4 linked regions of the Neodiprion lecontei genome follow. The main gene of each other region encodes a partner of the protein of the gene in region 2 in a complex. Links are inferred from orthologs where the notes say so. Each region holds a gene or a part of one and is shown on either strand. Other genes may lie near its edges.

What was found.
Region 1: Meckel syndrome type 1 protein (region 2) and B9 domain-containing protein 2-like share a complex: the UniProt entries of both Homo sapiens proteins name them as parts of the tectonic-like complex. The link is inferred for Neodiprion lecontei from reciprocal best matches to the Homo sapiens genes MKS1 and B9D2.
Region 3: Meckel syndrome type 1 protein (region 2) and transmembrane protein 17B share a complex: the UniProt entries of both Homo sapiens proteins name them as parts of the tectonic-like complex. The link is inferred for Neodiprion lecontei from reciprocal best matches to the Homo sapiens genes MKS1 and TMEM17.
Region 4: Meckel syndrome type 1 protein (region 2) and meckelin share a complex: the UniProt entries of both Homo sapiens proteins name them as parts of the tectonic-like complex. The link is inferred for Neodiprion lecontei from reciprocal best matches to the Homo sapiens genes MKS1 and TMEM67.

Annotation. Positions count from the first base shown.
Region 1 is NC_060266.1:23,876,175-23,880,893, forward strand, and holds the start of B9 domain-containing protein 2-like, read left to right. Parts: upstream 1-1,693; 5' UTR 1,694-1,703; intron 1,704-2,223; 5' UTR 2,224-2,228; intron 2,229-4,719. UniProt on the Homo sapiens protein: Component of the tectonic-like complex, a complex localized at the transition zone of primary cilia and acting as a barrier that prevents diffusion of transmembrane proteins between the cilia and plasma membranes.
Region 2 is NC_060261.1:15,444,241-15,451,849, forward strand, and holds the start of Meckel syndrome type 1 protein, read right to left. Parts: upstream 6,009-7,609; 5' UTR 5,975-6,008; intron 5,768-5,974; exon of another isoform or gene 5,604-5,767; intron 4,584-5,603; exon of another isoform or gene 3,425-4,583; 5' UTR 3,203-3,424; coding exon 3,123-3,202; intron 2,989-3,122; coding exon 2,298-2,988; intron 2,156-2,297; coding exon of another isoform or gene 2,097-2,155; exon of another isoform or gene 1,292-2,096; intron 1,239-1,291; coding exon 883-1,238; intron 476-882; coding exon 70-475; 3' UTR 1-69. Other genes in the region: rhomboid-related protein 2, read left to right, coding at 2,097-2,155, 7,520-7,598. UniProt on the Homo sapiens protein: Component of the tectonic-like complex, a complex localized at the transition zone of primary cilia and acting as a barrier that prevents diffusion of transmembrane proteins between the cilia and plasma membranes.
Region 3 is NC_060263.1:2,800,233-2,803,602, forward strand, and holds transmembrane protein 17B, read right to left. Parts: upstream 1,720-3,370; 5' UTR 1,494-1,719; coding exon 1,406-1,493; intron 1,317-1,405; coding exon 1,213-1,316; intron 1,037-1,212; coding exon 923-1,036; intron 860-922; exon of another isoform or gene 841-859; coding exon 598-840; 3' UTR 532-597; downstream 1-531. Other genes in the region: uncharacterized protein LOC107222077, read left to right, coding at 1,982-2,052, 2,233-2,645, 3,102-3,313. UniProt on the Homo sapiens protein: Transmembrane component of the tectonic-like complex, a complex localized at the transition zone of primary cilia and acting as a barrier that prevents diffusion of transmembrane proteins between the cilia and plasma membranes.
Region 4 is NC_060260.1:37,172,300-37,178,930, forward strand, and holds meckelin, read right to left. Parts: upstream 4,916-6,631; 5' UTR 4,781-4,915; intron 4,699-4,780; 5' UTR 4,505-4,698; coding exon 4,397-4,504; intron 4,200-4,396; coding exon 4,005-4,199; intron 3,918-4,004; coding exon 3,666-3,917; intron 3,578-3,665; coding exon 3,423-3,577; intron 3,335-3,422; coding exon 3,169-3,334; intron 3,051-3,168; coding exon 2,766-3,050; intron 2,688-2,765; coding exon 2,217-2,687; intron 2,133-2,216; coding exon 1,858-2,132; intron 1,744-1,857; coding exon 1,563-1,743; intron 1,446-1,562; coding exon 1,235-1,445; intron 1,157-1,234; coding exon 933-1,156; 3' UTR 507-932; downstream 1-506. Other genes in the region: NADH dehydrogenase [ubiquinone] 1 beta subcomplex subunit 3, read left to right, coding at 1-273; ATPase ASNA1 homolog, read left to right, coding at 6,300-6,418, 6,533-6,631. UniProt on the Homo sapiens protein: Required for ciliary structure and function. Part of the tectonic-like complex which is required for tissue-specific ciliogenesis and may regulate ciliary membrane composition.

The sequences.
Region 1 (4,719 bases), on a different chromosome or scaffold from region 2:
AAAGCCCTCGAGTTCGGCGTCGTGCTCTACTTATATACTTATATGCGCCCTGCCGGCATTTTGTTATTAATTTCAATATAAAAATTCTGAAACGTTCTTGAGACTATAACCAATAAAGCCTTCAAACTCGAATTGCTCTAACTGCTTACAATTTCTTAAAAAAAAAAAAAAAAAAAACTCCACAACTCTTCTCGCGTCGGATCGGTTATACAGCTGACAATGAGTAGGTATCCATGTCCGAGCTTTGGTCGAAACAACAAGAAGCTCACGATCAGCTACTGTATCATCGTTTTTCGCCCTTCCGATTTTCCATGTGTGTGCGTTGCGTAGATACGTAAAGGATGCCCGTCTGGCTGAGTTCATTTTACGCGCAGATCTCCTTGTATTCCCCGCACTTTATCACTTATTCTCATTCCGTGCACGTACCTCAATTTTATTTCAAGTCTTTCTCGCTCTCTTTCTCTCTCACCCAGCTCGCATCCGTCCATCCACTCCCTTCTCTCTCTCTCTCTCTCTCTCTGTCTATCACTCCGTCCTCCTCACTCTAATAAAAGCAGGCCGCTTGGGCTGTAATTTTGTTTCAAGCCTATTCATTCAACGGAGGCACCTCCACTTCATTAGCCCTACCAATCATCTCGGTTTACACAAGTAACGCGAACGATATCGCGTATCGCGTATCGCATGAGGTTCAATACGAAAGGAGAATGAAAAAGTTGCGTTAAAAAAAAAAATAAAGGATCGAACTATATTCAATATTACCCACATTTGTCGAACAAATTTCCCCCCGTTTATAATACGTATAACTCGGATTTCGAAATATTACACATGTTTGTTATACATTTCCCCACGAGAAACATCAAATAAAATTTTAATTACTCATTTATTGGATGTTTTCGCTTATGCAAATACGTAAAATTTTACTGCCCGTATCATATTTAGGATAATAATAATAATAATAATAATAATAATAATAATGATATTATATCTTTTATTCAAATTCAATACAATGATATAAAATCATTTCAACGAAATCAACACCCGTCCCAATCAAACAACAGCTCAGGGTAATTTATATCAACCCTGTTTTTGCCTTATGCACCAAATTATTAACGGAAATTCGGATTCAACTATTTTTCTTTTAAACAAACACAGGCAGAAAAAATTTAAAATAATGAAAACTTTTTTAACGTTCACGCAGCTGTTGAACAATTATCTTAAACTATGTAAGTATCATTCGAAATGACAGGAAGAACGTTCAACAAACGTTTCTTTTACCGTGATAAACAATTTACTTTCACAAAAGTGTCCGTGCATCACATAACGCAACGTGTGCACGATACGCAAATTTATTACGTAGACGTATACATATATTCATATTTCCTGAGGGTATGATATTCGTTCAAAGGAAACCACAGGCGGTAGTATAACTGTTAGTTATACATACACATGACACGCGGCGTGCATGCATAGGTCGAATTTGACCGAATATTGTAACCATCTCTTGATGTATTTAAATGTATACTTGCTAATTCCCTAAGTACCATCGTGCAACCTCTGCCGAGGCAGAGACTAAATCCAAAATATCCCATATCCAGGCCTTTGCGCTTTGGGTTTTAAGCGAAACGCGTTTACACCTGTGTAAGTAAGTATGATGCAAGGCACACGCGAATCCCGAAAAAGGGATTCTACGACGACGTGTGCGCGTGTGTGTGTGTGTGTATGATTACACATAGTGCGTTTGATGCGCGGGGCAAAAATGTGCAGATCTCGACGAAGGGTCGTGGAGATTAGTACATATCCGTATCTACCTCTATTCTTGTCGGTATGCAGTTCATTGATACAATGCACAAGTAGCGATAACAAGTACGAGTTTAATAAAAATGGAAATTTATTTGTTCGCGGATGAGGCCGAAAAACATGAGAATTGTAGTTTAAGAAACACCATTGTTTAATCATTTTGGTAGTTATATTTATAAAACTATTTCTGAAAATTTCCGGACATTTTTTTAACGATTATTTCTCGTTTCCCATTAATTTTCATACATATACGTATACATGTATATATATATATATATATATATATACATACATATGTAATATATATCCGTGTATAGAATATGTATAAGTCGCATATATAAATATGTCAGATGTAGAATCGAGTATGAGGCAGTTCAGTTCGGCTTCGAGCCGAGCGAAAGCCCCGAGTGCCTGAGCACTTCAAAGTTCCGGTTCCGCTGCCCTCCGACAGGGTAAAACCCATTAACTGTAATGTATGTATGCACGTGTGTACGTAAAATATATACATATATACACACACCTTGTAAATGCAGATTAAGGTGTTTCGTGCGAAGATCGATGTGGCGTTGAAAATATTGTAATCCCCCGAAAAGACGTAACAACGTCAACTACTTTTGTTTTATGAAAGAAGAAACGGTTTTTTTTTTTTTTTTTTCATATAGAATATAACGTATTGAACAATAAATATCTGTTCATTCCTGCTACGCGGACCAAGTTCGTTTCCCATACTGTAAGGTGAATGTATTTTTAATTTTTTATGGTACAAGTATTGGATTTTAAATGAAATTTTCTCCACTCCTTCGCTACCTTCGCCCAACGACAACGAGGAGATATATGTGTATATGTAAATACAGACGCCTCCTTTGAAGGTAATGGAAACGGAGTGACGAAAGGGGTAACAGACAAAGAATAATATAAGTGAATAAGAAATTGTGACAAGCCGCGGGCGGGATGGAAATCCTCTGTTCGAGTCGAAGCGTTATATCATATTATACAAGAATAACGGTGTATCGGAAATATACATGTATATTATTTTTTTGTCATTCTCTTCTTTAGATATAACGTGTATTCATGCGTAATAACACAAGAAATAGCGATACGCTGATAAGAAATAGCGTAGAAGTAAGAAAAGTGAAGAAAAAAAAAAAGAAAAAAAAAGAAAAAAAAAATTGAGACGTTACATTCAGCAACGGATATGCCCGGAGGCGGGCAAGCAGGCAGGTACATACCAAATAGGTATACTTTTATTTTCCCCACTTTTACCTCGTCGGTTTACTTTACTTTGTCCTTTTCTTCTCCTTTCTTGTTCTCGTTTTATTTTATTTTTTTCTTTTATTTTTTTTTTTTTTTTTTTTCACCCCGTGGCCTGAAGTCGATACTTTGAAAAATTTTAACAAGCGACGAAATGCTAAACTCCTTGCGTCTTAAGGCTCAAAGCTGGCAGCTTAAACTTCACTCAGGGCCAAGCTGCGAGCTCGAGCCAAGATGTAAATGAGATATAGATTGTGCGGATATACGAGATACATCTAGGCGAGAAAGGCGTGAAGAGAGTATAAAAGGAAGTGAAGGAGACGGGGAGTTACGGAAAAATTTAAGGATAAACTTTTCCGTCCCGTTTACACAACCGCAAAACATACAAGCAACCACTGTAACCGAGTTTATAAAATGCCACACGTACTTTATTTTATACGTTATAAGTGTGCGTCAGGATGCTCCTTGTTCAGGGTGTCGACGAATCTTTTCGATGTCTGAATTTTTTTTTTTTTTTATTCAGAGGTAGCGCGATTCGTCCAGATTGCCTGATATGACGATATTTATTTTTTTTTTCAGATGGCAGGACTAATGCCCACCAAAACTTCGCCGTTGAAGATTTTTCGGAACATTATTACTCTTACAATAAAATATCTGTTGAGAAAAATACGTTTTTTCCTTGTTATTACCGTAAGAAACATCGATCGTAACTTTGATGAAATTTATTCACCGAGCGTATGATTTTTGGAAAAATTTTGAAACCGCTGAAAGTGTGTGTGTGTGATAGGCATACCTTAATATACGCGACGTATTAACGAGAGATATAATTACCAGTTACGTGTGAGCAGAGAGTGTGTATATATATATACGATATGGGATGAAAATTTGAATGGTTCCTCGGCTCGTTTCCCTGGATACGTACGTAACGCAACGAAATGCCTTTCGGCGAACCTATTCCGGGCACAATTTCCCCGTATCTACTGTTCTATCGAAGTCAATTAATTTCGTGTAAATATTAATTATCCTCGACTACTTTCCCCGGAAGGCACATCAGTTTCGGCTTAATTACTTTGGTGATCACTGAATAAGACATGTTGAAACGTACGTTATACACACCTGTGATACTCGAGACTCTCTTACCTTCCCCCAGTTAACGGAGAGGGGATATCTTGCCCCTTTTACCTTTCCGACTATCCGTCTTTAAAATCAACTAATTGATTCTCATTGAAAACCAGGTGCCAAGAATTGCGTGCTGATGAAGAAAAAACGAGTGTACGTACAGCGATTGTTCACTAACGCCTTGGAGTTTCGGCTAACTTGTTTTCGCTTCGAAATAAAATTTATAACGCGATTTCTATTCTATACCAATTATTTAACAATGACTCCTAATCTCTGACGTAGACGCGAAAACAAGTTAGCCGTAAACCTAACGCGTTAATAAACATTAATTTACAAGTGATTTGTCGATAGTTATTAATTTTGGAAAAATGTGTGCTGGAACAAACCAAAAAAAAAAAAAAAAACCAATAAAACACGTAGTAAACAAAAACCAACGAAAAGCGATATTTGCTTTTCTCCGCTGTTCCGCCGCTAATGGCAACGCATTTCTTGTAGGGTACGTGAAACGGAAATAGGCAAGTGACTCGGATAGTTAGACACACGATATCATTC
Region 2 (7,609 bases):
ACGTATTTTCCTTGATTTCGCACATCGCGTTCCGCTAATTCTCCGAAACGTACGTGTCAAAAGACAATTTCACGAGTTCATGATGCGTGCTTTTATCATCCGTTCTCTGGCAGCCTTAAATTGTTCAAGAACGTCGTTAACACTGTTCATAAGTCGCCCAGCACTTAGACGTTCGAAAGTGTCGCGTTTAAAGCAGCTGCCATCGATGAAAGATCGGCTCTGCTGGATGATGTTCAATTTCAGTTCAATCTGACCGTTTGGCACCGTCTCCAAATTTGCTTTTTCCAATTTCGTATCGTCGTACATTGCGGGAATACCACAATAAGACATATCTTGAAGCTCGTACGTTCCGCCAGTAAAGAAGCGGCGAAGAGTGTTTAAAAAGTCTCCAACTGGTCGCCAAGTATGCAACGTCAAGTAGTGACATCCGGAAGTAGCTGGAAGCGCTTCAGCCGCATACCCTTCGATTCGGTACCTTTGTAGCAAACATGATTCATTACTAATTTATTGAAATTCAGTTAAAAATAGGCAATACTAATTATCAATATGACGGCAGTAGTGATGATCAGCTGGTCAATTTAGATCAATTTTGCAAATATCAAGGCACAGCATTATCGTGCGAGCTGTTAGGCTTCCATTTTTTGATAGTAAGTTAATCTAGCGTAAAATTTGCGATTAAAAGCTGCGCTGATACTGAAATATGATGGCTAAGACAGTTGATTTATTTTTTTCACTACCAGGAAATAGCGTCTCACAATTGATGACTTACGTTCTAATACCATGCGTGACTAAAAGTTTAAATTAGCATAACTTGTATTCCTAACTCGGGTTTTTAAATCTTCAGGTATAGGAACCAAAGATTCTATCGACTTATGTAATTACCTAGTCCAGCTATCAAGAGAAGCTATCGAAATAAGAATCCACGGCCAGGCAATTGAGGATTTCTCATCTTCTAACCGGGATGAATTTAACTCGATGCAAAATTCGGCTACGTAACTGAAATTTGCACTTCCTTTCGTCATTGAACATCGCTGTGTCCGACCAGTCAAACGTTCCGGTTGATCTGTACTCCAATATTTAGGCAATTCAATGTGATACGTCACGAACAAACTATCGTACGGAAAGTTGTGAGCAGACATAATGTCCAGATTGACAAAAATCCGCAGGCGATTAGCTGGAGGTAATCCAATTTGAGGAAAGATTTCTGCTTCCCTGTAGCTCAACTTCTGCATTACCTGCTGTGAATGTACACAAAGTAAAATTATCAGAGTAAAAAAGGATGACCAACAGAATGGCTCTAATTAATTTCCTGCACGCTCGGTTTGGGAGTAGTTGATCAGATTCATTTCTCAATATCGGCAATTGTCTTTGGGGCACAAACTGTTTTGTTTTAGATAGAAAGAAGATTGCTCGCCGAGAAGTAACTCCATAAAAAATGCGTGACAAATTGTATCCATATGGTATAAATTACTCGTTTTTTCCTGGCGACTCAAAGTCGGATCAGGAAATATAACAGGACAATAAGTAAGAACAAAACAATCTAAAAGAGTTGATCGACTTCAAGCAGTGAAGGTACAAGGCTATGCGGATCGCTTTGTAGGTGGAGCATGTGGATTATAAAATTGTGAAAGTATTTTGTCGGATTTGTTTTACACTGTGAAACTCGAGTGTGTGCGATTTGATAGAGTAAACATATGGAGTTAGTGTGGGAGAATGTTTGAGCTGACATTCAAGGAGCTACACAATTCAGTTATTTGCAGACAGTATAGCAGTCGAGATCAGTGAGTCTGATACACCAACCTTATCCATTGCCAGTTTCTTTACTTAATACAATCAGTCAGATTGTTTATGGTTCAGATTCGTGGAAATATAAAATACAAATATTGTTTGTAAGATTCAGTGATAAAACTCAATTAATAACCTATACTGATTAAAACTTTACTCGCAAATGAAATAAAATGTGTGCAGTTCAAATAATGGAAACCGGAACTTAACTTAAAAGAATAAAACCACGGAATAATTTGCAGTGAAGTACTGTAAATTATGGTACAGTAAAAAAGTCAGAAGGTGGAAATTATAAAGAATCAGCCGACAAGATGAACGTCTTTTACCCGCATAAAATGATGCGACAGATATCCGAAATTTCCTACGTTGGGTACGTATATCCGAAGCAATGTTAACGGAATTTTATTATTGATCTGAACTTGATCCACGTTGGTCTGATTTTCGAGTGAATTATACGAACGCAAATTACTGACGATATTTCCGAGATACATAACTCAAGGAATTTCACTTACACCACGCAATTCTTTAACTTCAGTTTCCAAATCTTGAGGATACTGAATTTCGGATGCATGTTCGATCCAATAATCGTAATTCATATCAGTGCCGTGAATTTCGTAAGGCTCTTGGTACGTGAAATCGGGATCGACGGTTAAAGAGCGATGAATTTTGTCGAATGTGATTGTGCACAACAGTATTTGTGAGTCATCAAAATCGTAGGAACTGGACTTGGCGTTCGGCATTAAATCGACTATGATGTACATTGTCGCGGAATCTCTGTGGAGATAATGATTAGTGCGAATTGTAGTATCTCCGGGATTATCGTCGATAACTTTTTTGTTGTAACGTTCAACGAAGGGCTTTCGGTTTTGCAAAGTTGGTAACGCTGACGCGTTTTTTCGAGACAAATGCGATTTGTACGGCTTTGTCAGTAAGTCTTTATTGGGAAAATAAGAATCATCGTCAATGTAGGTATATATGCGAGACCCAGTAATATTTTTCTCGGTTATCGTTTCGTGATACTGTTTCTGCTGTTTCGTCGCACAGTTTTTTGAATCCGCGTAAAACTGCGCCTCGAAACGGCCGAAAATTTTTTCCTGCCAGGAGAGAATTTTCTCCTCGTATTCCAAAAAATTCGAATCTCTGGTTTCTTCTTCCGTTTTAAATAATTCAACTAGTCGGGATTTCTGTTGTGCAATTCTGACTCTGAAACAATAAACCCAAAGTGAAATAAACGGCATCGTACGGCCAGGGAGGAAGGGCGGGGGGGGTTCGCATTGGCCAGATGGCCACCCAACAGAATAACAGTTTTAAATATTTTTGTTAGCTAATTCACCTACCTGATTTTGAAATTCACAATCGGCTCGCTGACGCGGTACGTGTTCGCTATTTTCGCTTTTCCCTCAATATTTTTCGACATTCTTGAATCACATTTGAATCGGAAAAATAATCAGTCGCTTTGGAAAGACTCGGTTCTTGGTATTCCATTCACAAAATTTCACACGTGATGTTTTTAACGTCTCGTATTCATTTATTTCTCTACTTTAATGTTTGTCAACACTGGTTGCATAGCAACCGTCGATATAGTTCCCGCCATTATTTCAAACGCGTGGTCACTTCAGGAGCCTTTACTATGGATCAGCTAACAAAGCGAGCTATCATGTTTTATTAACTATATTGCACGTTCGTATATCCACCATTATTTTTCTGGATATTTATATAGTTACTCGTCTTTTGATATTTGCACCACTTTTGATCTTACTGATTGATCAAACAAGGATAATCTATACAAAGTTTACTGGGAACTGTTTAAATATACACAAGCTTCAGCCTACTCTTTGAATTAAAAAATTCTGACGACTTCTCAAGCAATCAGAATTATTGTTTCACAAATCATTGAATTGAAACTCGATGTAATTATATGCAGTGAATACGCGGAAAATAGGCTGAGTTAAAATAACTATAAATATCGAGGCTAGAATTAGAATAATTAGCAAATCACCGAATAATTAGAGTGGATTTGAAAGAAGTTGTTCTTCTCAATACTTTTTGTCACTTCCTTAACTTTCGGTATATAGTTGGAATAACTGCCAACTTGAATTTTATACATACGAACATTTTGACCATTGTTTCAAGGTTTTACAGGCTTCAAACTCATTTACTTTGATTGACTTCCATAGTGATCAATGATTGCAATTATAGAGGTGTGTCGATTTCATTATAATAAACAGGAAGAATTGATGCACTACATACTAATCGACATGTTATTAGTAAAGAAGCCTGTATTCCTTTGTTATATAATTGCGGATCTTGTACCACACTACAACTGAGATAAAACTACTCGTCATTCAAGTCAATCATACCTAGTTTAATCGAAACCAGTTTTGATCCAGGTGAAAATATATTTATAACCATTTTCAAAATGTATATATTCATTTTTTCATTCGTATTATAAGTCTGGAATCATTTTTAATGATCTATCGGCTGGGCTGTCTGAATTAAAAGTTAGGAAAAACAAAAAAATTCGTTCTACAAATCTCCACTAATGGTATTTGGTTCAATGATAGTGATCACGAATGAAACAATAGCTCTGCTATTCAATTGAAATGTATCTGAGCCAATCAGAATAACGAAATTTAAGATCTCAACATCTTAAAAAAAGGTTGTATAATTACAACTTCAAAATTCTTGGACACGGAAGTTTTTTCATTCCATTTCAATATTTTGGGCTCACTCTTTTACCAAATTTGAAATAAATTTTACAAATAATTATCCAGAGTGGATAAAATAGATACTTGTAAATACGGAAAACAGATTCAATCTATTTATATTCGCGCGTTATAATTATATTGAAGTGTAAGATCACTTTTTGTTAAGCGAACAACATGAACACAAAAGACTAGAATCAGACTAGAAAAACTATATCTGAAAATAAATTTTTAACGTTCTAACTATGTATAATAATGGATATTTTTTAACTGTTTTCTATACTTTGAACTCTTTTTTAACTTTTGATCGAGTCATCCTTAGCTTTATAATTGACAGAAAATTTCTGCCGATCTTCGAGTGTCACAATATTTGAAAAACGGGAAAACTGCATTCTCGGTTTCAAAGGTGAGCACCCCGGAATGTAAAAATATTTAACTACTCCATTTGACTTTTGACACCGAGAACACGGTTTGCCCATATAGATAATAAGGTCGAGAACTTTCATTCTACAATCTACATTTGAAAAAAGAACTATCGAACTTGTGCTATGAAATAAAGTGGACAAGTTCAAGGCTACGCTCTGTCCCAGCGTGTCGATGACTCGGATGCGTGTGTGACGGAGTCTCCCAGTAAAACCCGGACGGCTAATGGAAATTGGAAAGGCCAGACAGCCATGGCAAGCTAGAGGCAAGCGACGCAACAGCCGGTTAAATCGATGCTTGCAATTCTCCGTGACGCGTTACCGGCGGTGATGGTGTTTAAAATAACCGAATGATTTCTCCGAAACTTCGTGGATTGAGTCAGGTTTCTGCTCAGTTATAAGTCGGGGAATTCGAATCTCCTTCAGCTTTGATCGACTACTTATAAGAATGAGCAGTATCCTTTTAGCGCGAAGTAAAATTCGTCGGGTCCTGCAGCCACTCCATCACGATCGCCTCGAACATAACCCAATTCGGCCTCGGGCAACGTCAGCAAACGTGCTTAACGGGATTCCACGCTTGGGTTTTTCACATTGATAATCGTGGTTTGCCATAGAGGATAAAGGCCTCGTGCGCAACAAACTGCAGCTGTCGAAATTGATACGTCCTAGTTTAAACTTTTTATCTCCACGCTTCTTATCTCCGCACCCATCTGCAATAGTACGATAACGGCGAAAAATGATTTCATCACCATCAGTACGTAGCTCCGCGTAAATACTTTGGACCTGACACACAGTTGCTATACTCACCTTCCACTTGTCGTCCGTTCGCCCGAATCGCATAGCCGAATCGTCGAGGTATGAATTGAATAAATATTCTGTGTTCTTATTGTAACGGTTAATGTTTCGCGTACGAAAATGTGAAATTAAATTGCTTTGCACTCCGTTTTTTAAATAATCGCGCTACTCATACTCATGAATACGTACTCGGTATTCGTTCTTTGGAATCATAACTGGGTGACAACGATTATGCTAATATCACTTTTACGACGATAGGTTATAAACCTTATTTTTTCGATTTCGGAGTGTTTGACCTTGATCTACCCCTCAGTTACGTAAAATTGCACGAAGCTGAAGTTAGTAACGTTATCGTAACGGAACAGCACGAAAATCAAATTTGAGGCGATCCTATATGAAGTAACGACTTCTCCTAACATGCATCGTTATATCAACGTTACTAACTTCATATTAATGGAATTGTAGCTTCAGGGGATATTTATTGTTAACAATGATCGATTTTCCATTCGATTCCGAAGGAGGTTGGTGAACAAAAAATCAATATTATCTACCAATATTAATACTAAATAGTCGCACGTTAAGTTTTTACAAAATTAATACATTCAAACACCGCAATATGTCCTATCAAAATATAAAGTTACGAATTACCGACAATCATAAACGAAAGCGTGAATATCAATGCTTAATTTAAATCGCATCAAAATGATGAAAAACCGAGTATAAGATTCGTTCCATTTTACTCTATATTGGCTCATGATATTCAGGACATAATTTCTTACAATCCCACTGACACACTTTTTTTTATCAAGTTAGCATTGTTAAATAATTAATTTTACAACATTTAACAGATACTGTTTGTGATCAGCAAATGGCAATTCTCAATTGCCTACTGAAAAGAAATTGCATCTGTTCTAGTAGAATTTGAAAGGAATAAAATTTTCCAAATAAAATCAGCCATCATATAAGAGTGAAATCTAATGACAATACTAAACTTTTCATCACTGTCAATCAGTTTGAAATGAAACATGGATATCTAAGCTGCTGTTAATTATTCGTTTGTTATCTTGCTTTTTTTAAGAAATCATTGTAGCTTACAAACATATTTATATCTAATTTATGACTATATTATAATAAAATAAAAAATAAACACCGATCGGTGGCTCAACAACCTCCTTACTCAAACTTTGAAGTTTAATTGCAGAGCAGGTGCAGACAAAAGCATTGCATAAAAGAGTTTTTATTTCAAATTTTATGGAGTAATAGTTAACAAATTCTGCATCTTATTATAATTTATAAGCATGTGAGTGAAAGTGAAAATCTTAGTTTCAACTTATTATGTTTGAGAATCCATTTCATCATCCTGCTAATCATCACCAATCATTTTGGATTATTTCAATCATGCGACGGGCACGTATACTTTTTAATAAAAGTTTTGCACATTTTGCTGCTCTATTATTTACATGGAATCATGTAAAGCGATGATGTAACATATTTCATTTTGTCACAGTCATAAAGAAGATAATTCTGTCGTTAATTATAGATGAAGAGTTGATTGTTATCAACATTATTTGATTGATCTACATTTATTGACTTAGAATAAAGAGTGAAACAGTTTTGTATTTTCATGCTACAAGTTCATCCTATTCTACTACCCACAAATAAATGTATTTGACTTGTTGATGGTTAGAAAACTATTGTAAACAGATAAATTGTGTGTATTTCTCGTAAATATTTAGTTGAATCAATTTAGAATGATATTTATTTGTATTATAATTAGTGCCTATTTTAATTTTGGTGTTTTCATTCGTATAGGAGTTTCAAACTAATAAGGATGGCTAGTACTCAAGATGCCGAGGGTGGTATCACCATACCTCTACAGTACAACGATGCTGTAAGTAGCAT
Region 3 (3,370 bases), on a different chromosome or scaffold from region 2:
GTGCAAAAGTATAACCAACAGTTACTTCAGTAAATTTCATGGCGAGCTTGAAAAATACTTTAATTTTTTCTTTGTGAACGCCAAGCTTGATTTAACTATGTTTGGTAGATAACATATTATTATCAAGATATTTGAAAATACTTTTCAAGATTTATCTATTTCGGAACTTAATCACGAGTCTTGAATATAGGCTCAGAAGCAAACTGATGATATGTGGTCTTAAAACTTGATCTACAAGTTTTTCCATGTGCAGTTTTTACATTTTAGTACAAACATATTTTTACAACGAATATTTAAAATGTGTTCAACAACAGTTGGATTCACTGCAAACGTGACCAATAGGTGACTGGCTGCTGCTCCGCAGATTAAATCGTGTATTTACACAATTCTGATAGGTGCCAAATGAAACTAGGTAATGAGTGATTGTGGGTCATAAATTTATTACTTTATACCTATGTACAGATGAAAGATATGTATGTATGTTTATGTTTTATACGAGGTTAATGATTGTATAATTGAGTTATGAAATAATTAAGTGATGAATAGTTTAATATTTCATATATACAAGCATTACAGTTCAAAGATATTTCATCGGTCTTACTCTAGTTTTTCATTAATTTCGTACAGTTGTGCGAGGTAAAATCTTTTTGCATGATGATTGGCCGAATTTCTTAATGCAATTGTTCCAGTAATTATTTCAGTGAGGAGGAAAACTAACATAACGCTGTTTACTACATGTTCTCCTCTACCTGGCAGCATCCTACCATCAACAAGAGTAAACATTTGTAGAGGAAATTGTATCAGTGTTGAAATCAGCCAAAAGCAAGCCAACTCGGGAATCTGAAATCACGCAAATATGGTAATTTTCTCCATAACATTTCATTGAAGTTTTTTCAAGTTCACGCAAATACAACGCCTAAACCTTCTCTGCCAAATTTCCAAGGTATCCTAGGTACAGTCGTATGCATTCCGAAACGGCAACAATTACGAAAACGCCAACAGTTATAAATTTGTAAATGTCCGATAGTTTATGGTACTGAAAAAAAATCACAACTTTAGTTAAGCTTAAAGTATTAGATTAAAATATCAATACGTACATTCTTGATAACGAGTCAACTATGGGTAATCAATATTTAACCGGTGATGGGTTTACCGGGCTTTAACGGGGTTAAAATATCAGCAATATTGCTGCTATTCGTTAAGAGTAGTTACTTTTTGATCGAGAAGATTCAAACTGATGAAAAACCAAAACGGAAATAGCCAAGTATTGAAATACAGTGCCATTTGTAGCGGTAAACTGGACTTAATCACGTTTCCTGTAAAATGGCAAAAGTAACGTAGAATACGAACATCAACGCGACGCTGACCATTCCGACATCGTCGAATAGATCGCAAGGTTTATTACCGATGTCATGAAATTCTTTTATTCGATTGTGATAAGCGAGACCTGGAAATATTCTATCTGATGCACTTATTACTGTATCCTTCCACATTGCATAAAAAAAGTTATTAACCTAAAGTGGTCTACAGGTCGCTGTGACAACAAATATTTCTGCAACCACAAACCAAGGATATTTAGAGAGAGTGAGCCCCCCTGATTTAGTAACACCCTTTGACATGGAATAGGTTTTTTTTAACTAATTGTCGAGGTGCCGCGACGGTAAATGCATAAGTAATGTATGACTGCAACTAATTACTTATTGTTAGAGCATTGTACAGTATTACCTGCCGTATCATAAAATCGCACTGAAGTGGTAACTCTGGTACACGGCAATTCGTTGTGCGTTTCGGAACACGTGCTAAGGTTCGCGTCGTGGTCGCGTCACTTACTCGTAGGCCAATGGCCACCAATAGCTACTGCCGCTACTGCGATACATCAAACAGATCCAAAACGGCGTTCCCCCATAGATCCATCAGGGGTGTAAGTTAGGGTTCATCGTTCGATTGTTTTTGTAGTTACCAGGGTACAGTTTGTCGAAGCATGGCCGATAATGTGCTTAGTTTAGATGACATAATCAAGAAATCCAAAATTTCAGCAATGAAAGGCCGCGGGTGAGTTGAGAATTTATCATTTTCTTATTGAAATCTCAAAATTTTTTCTGTGAGTAAAGCTCGTTACTTAAGCCTTACTTCACCATGAATCTTATAACCTTCAAAAACATCTATCGAGCCACAATCATATCTGATGCTCATTAATTACAGCAAGCTTATGATATCTCACCAATATTACAGGTCGAGAAGAGGCATCAACCGAAGTACTCTACGAACTAACGTATCTTCGAGAGGTCGAGGAGGGCCGGTCATTGCGGATGCTAGATTCAAAATCATCCAAAAGAATCGTGAGAAACTCACTGATGCTCGAGATAAACTAGCTCAAATAGCCAAGCAGTCTGATGCCAGGTTGAAGTTGGACAAATTACGTGCCACTCATTTGAAAACTGTCGATTTACCTCTCAGTGGAATTTCTCGTCAAACGGGCCTCAATGGTCGAATTACATTGACGACCAATAAGCTTCATAATAAAACCATGCACCCGATTCCGGCTACAAATTATTTGGCGCCAGGTTCTAGAGCTATGGAGTACAGGGCACCGCCCATGGTCGAAACTTCATACGCTGATGATATGGAAATGAACTTCAATGATGGTGCTCATTTTCTTTTTATCTATTTTCTACTCTAGGAAGACTTGTATATTATACCCTCAATTCGATTGCACATTGAATATCTCCTTGACATAATCTATAATTTTATTTGTATTCAGATATTTTTTCAATTTCTTGCACTGATATTTGCTTTTAGAATGTCTTTTTTTTCAGACTATTTTCTGATTTTACGTCTCTGAACATTCCGAAACATTTAATTCCCTCTAGCAATATAGTTTGTATATTCTCAAAGATTTTCTATCCAGCATTACATAATGATTTTGGATTTAGATTGTGTTATGACAAAATATGAATTCTTACGACACTTGTGGATGAAATTTAACTAAATATTTCAATATGTATCAGTAACATTGATAATCAATTTCAAATGTGTGTTATGACACATGCATTTTGACTGCCTTTACTCAATACCGATGATTCAATCTCATCCATTCTTAGATTACATGATGGATTCAACACCTCTAAGGCGGACTGTCAACAATGAATATGTGCCTGTGCCACCTCCACCACCACCTTCATTCAACTTATCCCCGACCAATGAATACACTTGGGTGAAACTGCCTGGTAGTAGTCTTGGAAGGATGGGTTCTTCTAGGCCAGTTGAGGTTCAGAGACCACGTGACTTTAAAATTGTGGCTCGTACTTCAATGGTAATTACAAAAGTCTATTGCTTACAAACGTAGACTTTGTAAATTTCCTTCGTTTGG
Region 4 (6,631 bases), on a different chromosome or scaffold from region 2:
GAAAATGCACCTGAACTGCTACGCGTTCAAGAAAAATTGGCAAAGGAAGGTTTAAGAGATCCTTGGCTGCGGAATGAAGTTTGGCGTTACGACGTAACAAAGTGGGGAACATTTTGGGGGCGTGGCTTCCGGTACGCGACATGTGGCCTCAAATTGGGTATTCCATTGTTTCTCTTAACAATAGGACTTGAAAAAGCTCTGGGAATTGAATATGGCCATGGCCATAGCCATGACCATGATGCACATAGTGGAGAACATGGTGGTCATCATTAAATTTCTTTCCAGTTCACACTGTTGATATAATAAATGAAATGATGGTGATGATACAAGTGTAGTTTGTGATATAATAAATACAGTAACTAAAATTCCTATTATTCGAACTATTTCTATTAGACTTAACTTAACATGAATCAAGAAAATATATACAGCGAACAGTGTGATTATTGTTTTAGGAGGATTTTATTTTGTACCAATAGACATGTTTTCAATATATCTGCATATTATATTCCCCATTATTTACTTTTGAACAATACTTGCCACACTTTATCCAGTCTTTCTTTGATGTCATATAAATCAATGACATTTAACTTAATATTAGTTTGTATTTGTAGAAGCAGTAATTAGAATACATGAGCGGTACATGTATAACAGTGACCTCACGATTTTCTCAATCATCCTGATACCTTCGTAAATACGACCTTAAAATCGTTTTACCTCGTCCATTTCTGGTTTTCTTATATTTATACTCATATAAAAGCAAATGACAAATGATAGTCCCATTAAACAGGGTTACCAATTATTCTAGAGCTACAAAGATCTTAATTATATTCTGGACTCTAGGTAGTATGGACATACTTCTGGGCTTCTACTTAGGCACCCTGGAAAACTTAGTTTCTTGTCCGCATAAAATTACTTTGGCTCATTTTCTTAAATCATAGTAAAAATCTTTCATCGATCAACGTTTTCTGAGCTAAATTTTTCTTACCATTAAACTTGCAACAGATAATTAACAGCTGTGACGCGAATACTGTGACTATTATCGCCAAAGTGTAGTCCTCAAATAGGGCTTCCATAAAGTTGAATAAGGTAATTTCAAAAGTTACTAACATCCATTCGTTCCCATAGAACATGGCACGATCAAAGGAATGGTTGTTGTCTGAAAAGGAGAAAGCATTTTATATTTTGTGTTGCAAAATAATAATTCCCCAATATTGTGAACAATCAAGCTTCTTACCAACATAGAAAATTGATTTTTCGACTCCTTCTCTGAATTCAATGTCTAAAAGTTTTTCAAGGAATTGCTTATCTCTAACAGTGTATTCCAAGTCTTTGAAACAGTGATCTATAAATTGGGTCAGGAATTGTTTCATCTTCTGATATGTTTGAATGTTTCTTTCCAAATTTGACGTTGAAATTATGTCACTTCTAAGAAATCTGCTCTCTTCCTGCAACAGAGAATATACAATGTTCTCTTTATATTAGAATTCTCCTCGAAGATTGCGATAAAACAAAATTAAAAGAAAAACAAAATTATAACATTCTGAATCCTTTATAACTCCTACCAATTTGATTGGGTTCATGATTTTATCATAAAAGTTTCTGAAAGTTGCTGACACTGATATTACAAAGCTTTGCTCTGTAGTACCGGGTAGAAGTCCTCTGTGTGCGCACAAATTTTCTTCTTCTTGTTTTAGGTCGCTGATCAAAGTAGCTAGATCAGTATCTGCAAATCCGTGGACTGATCTGAAAGTTGAATACTTTATGAAAAGTTCAGTTGCTAAATCAGAAAAATAAGTTCTAACCATCAACTTTGTATTCACACAAGTATGAATTTTGTAACAAATTGATGAACCATACCTTCCATGAATATAATATCCGTAATGGTTCTGAGAAAGAATAAATATACTGATATTTGCCATTGAACATAAGTCAATGAATTCTTTGATATGATTCTTGACGTATCTGTTATAAAATATAACCATTGTCAGCCATTGTACAAGGTATACAAACATATATACTAAGGTACCAACAGCAAATTTTAGCGTAAAGCTTTCTCTTTCCTGCAAAGTTGACTCTACAGCACGAATGCTAAGTTCTGGATCTGAACGTGCCCAGAATTTAACATTAACAACCTGTGGGAATAAAATGTTGTACATAATTTATTTAACAATTCGTGCAACAATTTTTACCAAAAAGCTCATATAAATTTTACTGACCTCTAAAATGAACAGTGTTGCAATGCCTTGTACAAGCATATTTACTTTTCTGATTGTTTGAATTTTGTACCATTCATTAGCGATGAAATAAGTTCGCCAAATACTAACTGGCAATTTTTTTTGATCGGTACGATCAGCAGTATCTCCCATAGAGAAAATATCTCCACCTGATTGATTGGGGAGATTCGAATCGTTTAAATCACTCTGAATCGAGAGTCTTGATCGCCTGCTCGGGGTATTAATGCTACTCAATTTGTGCGGTGTTTTGTTTCTACTAGCTGATATTATTTCTGATGGTGTTTTTGGTGAGCTACGTTTTTCACCAGAGAATCTATTAGCGTACAATTTCTTTAGAGATGTACGAGGTGAATCGTACTTTGGTTGGCTTTGAACAGACCTCGGTTGTTCCCAATCAATGAAAAACATGTCAATGTTTCTAATCTGATAGACGAGTCCCATTATCTCAACAAGCTGCAAACATAATTGGTGCAGTAACCTTTCAAAATTGTCAGACAGATTTGTAAAGAATGAAAATATATCATTATTCACTTTTAAAGAGAATGCAACGATCACGAATATTCTGACAGTCTCCTCGTTGGCCTCGCTCGGTAATAAAACATGCATCACGGTCTGCCCTTTAAAAAAGATGAACATGTAAGCACTGGCGCAGAAAACTACGAATATAAATACGTTTCCTAGTAAACCGCAGCAAAATATAAAAAACCAGAAAAACGTGGAGGTATTTGGAACTTCACTGCCATTTCGTTTACAATGGCTCCATGCCTTGATTGCGGCAAAAGCAACTGCTAAACTCGACAAAACGCCTGTAGACACCTGAAATGCATAAAAATTTGATCAGAAGAATGAATGATGTGCTCGAGTGATTAATTAAAGATTATTTTAGGCAAACAAAATTGTGCGTTCGTTATTACTTGAAAATAAACTTGTTTACCTCTATGGCATTGTACATGTCGTTATCTGCCAATATGTAAGTGATTTTATAGCTAATTTGCACCTCAACGTTTTGACGCACATGTTCGTTTAGCAATTCACCATATTCTATCATAAGTAACGGTGGGAATATTTTTCCCTTCTCTTCTTTATTCTGCACTTTGATTCTGAATGATTGAAAAAAATTACTCAGTATATGACAGTAAATTTTTGCAACACAGCACACACATTTTCAAAAAACGAGGCAATACTCACAAAATATTAATAGATTTAGCATATCTCACAACAGTTGGATATTCTTCTCTCTTAAAAGCAGTGCCTAACGACGTTGGCAAGGCTTTAATGCCAGCTATAGTATCAGTAAAGAAAAATCTCCTTACCAGTTGCCATCGAGAAGCATCAATTTCATCCTAAACAGTGCCGCAAAGATGAAGAAGAGACTTGGGCATTTTTTGCTGCCTTTATCCTTAATTATGAAAAATGTCTTAACCATCTCACCTTATTTGTATTTCTTATCAGAACCGGCAGTGCGTATAAAATCATTTTGTCGCCCTCTCTGTATCCAAGATATGGTTCAAAAAACTCCATTCTTATATCATTGAGTATTTTGGCAGTTGTTGCACACGACTTTTCAATATTAATACCAAATCTGATATTTTTGAACAAGTCGCAGATTAAAGTTGGTGCTGAGATCGATTGATATTGTCCATTCATTGAAAATGTGGCAAATGTAATATTCAACCTGCTACTCTGTGGTGAAATAAAAAAAAGTCATTAACGACATAGTGCCAACAAATGAGTTTTTTTTCATACAATTTCGTTTCATTCTCTACGTACATTACTCTCTACATCCAGACTATACTGCTGTGAAATTTTTTTACGATTGAGAACTGTTGGGGCTTCACCTTCTCCATAGTACAGCCATAAAGGAGAGTTATGTTTATCCCAAAATAATTTACATGGTATCAAAGATGTAAATAAAGTCAGGGTGCACATATTTGCCATATGCTCGCAAGCTGTTTTGTTTCCATTCTGAAAACAAATACAAAATTCTAGTGTGATGAATTTCAATAATTATTACAAATGAAGTTATTTATGCACCGCTGGTTCAATTTTAAATTGTTCATCTTTCGAATCTTTGGGAGAATCTTCACTCCATGCTATTGTGTGAATTTTTTCGCATTCCTCCGAGAAAGCAATACCAAGAATACCGATCAGTGAATACTTACTTTACACAGGTAAACGGCTAGTTGTAGCTCATTTCTAAAGTAATAACTGTCGATATGTTGGCTTTCGTATTTGACTAAGTACGTACTTCTCACATCAGGCCATTCCATTATCCCATTTTTCTTAATACAGTACTCTTTGATTTTCAAATGTGAAACTAATGGGCAGGGGCAATTGATGTGACTCCTGAATGATTTTTTTCTACACGGTATGCAACTCGTTCCATCTGGCGATGGATAGGAGTTCTCTGGACATGGAATGCATCTTACGTTATTCAAAAGAGTCCCATTAATGTCTCGTTCCACTAAAAATATCGACGTAATTTTATGTTCTCAATATTCAGTTGTTCTTTATACTATACACAAAGAGGTAAAACAGTTTCTCACATCTGACTTCAGTCAGCGAACATTCGCAGCTACTATTAGTACTAGCATCAGAACATGGAACGCAGTCCAGTCCGTCAATTGTGGGAATCCTGTCAGGGCCACACGGCTCACAGGTCGGATTACCATTTTCAAAATTGACAAACCTACTTTGTTTATTGCAAACACAATCAAGTCCTGTAATGGTGAATTCAAAATTTTACAACTTTTTTCAGATTCATTTATTAACTGTATTTTATACAATGAATGAGACAGGTCGAAAGTATAAGTTGGAAAAAGTTTACACATCATTTTAATTTATTGAAAGTACAAATAATTGATAGTATATAATAAAACAAAAATGAAGAAATTACACCATGCTCCCTAAAATATCAATAAATTAGGCAATAAATTAAACTTGCGGTCTTTGGAGGGTTCGAGGTTCTTCGTCGTGTCACAAGCTGTGCAAATTAATGATCCAACGTTGAAATATTCCCCTCTTTTGCACATACTAGGAGTAACGTATTGAAACAACTCCCCGTTCGGATACGTGTTTACTTGGAAAATATTTTCTAAAATAACGGAGAAAAATAAATAACGAACAAACGGATCGTGTATGAAAAACATTTTTAAACCATTCGATATGCGGGTGCGTTATGTATTGTATTGTTTACAGTCTTATACCTACCGCCCGTTTCCATGGCAACTCAGGGGATATTCGGAGAGACAAACCTGCAGGCGCGATGACGCATTTGATTTGATGAAAAAAAAAAATGCCGTGCTAAAATCGCATTCTACTTTTTAAAAAATTCACAATGTTAACATTTTGTAACTTAGACGCGTAATTTTAGTTCACGATTCAATTTGTGTTTGCAAGTGTCGCGGTTGAAACCGCATTTATTTTGATGAATATACCTGAATGATATTATAATACCTAGCTGTGTTATGTCGAATTTCGCTCAAAGTCCAGAGATGGGTCGAGTTCACAACGAACTTTAATCGTACTGTAGTGGAGGTAGATTTAGATGTATTTTCAATTTTATGATTTCAAAATGTGGAGCGAGTTTTTGGCTATCCGAGTAAAAGTCGAAATGCATTATTTTTCTTTTATTTAGTTCCAGTACAGTGTCTCAAGGAACTCAATTCGCAATCGGGACGGTCATTTTAGCCAGGGATGAATTGTAAAATATAGCGGAATTAGCTTTCGGTCAATGAATCTCACGGCTTCGTAACTCATAAAATGGAATGATACCGTCATTGTACAATGGCTAATAAGGTTTCATTCTTCAATAAAACTTGTTTGACATGAATTCAAACGCAATACAGGATTCGTAAAAGCATAGATATATTGATTGCATCATTGTTTGAGCATCTGTGTTTATCACTGTAACAGTTGAGCACAAGTTGGGAACAACTGTCATTAGCATCAGCTGTGAAAGATTGGCGCAGAGCGTGACGCTTGAGCGCAAGCAGCGAAACTGCGAAATTAGTTTGTCGTGACGGGTGACATTTCGATTTTTGAGTTAATCAGAGATTGAAAAATATGGCTGCGAATGTCGAATTTGAGCCGCTGGAAGCGTCCGTGCGAAACGTGATTGATCAACGATCGTTGAGATGGATATTCGTCGGCGGAAAAGGAGGCGTTGGGAAAACAACATGCAGGTGATGTGTACATAACCTATACATGAGGGAGAAAATATCGTAGGAAAATAGTTGTCCGGTTAAAATGACATTCATAAACCGATAATTGTATCTCTAATTCTTTTTTCAATACAGCTGCTCCTTGGCCATTCAACTAGCTAAAGTTCGCGAGAACGTCTTGATCATTTCCACAGATCCTGCGCACAACATCTCAGATGCGTTTGATCAGAAATT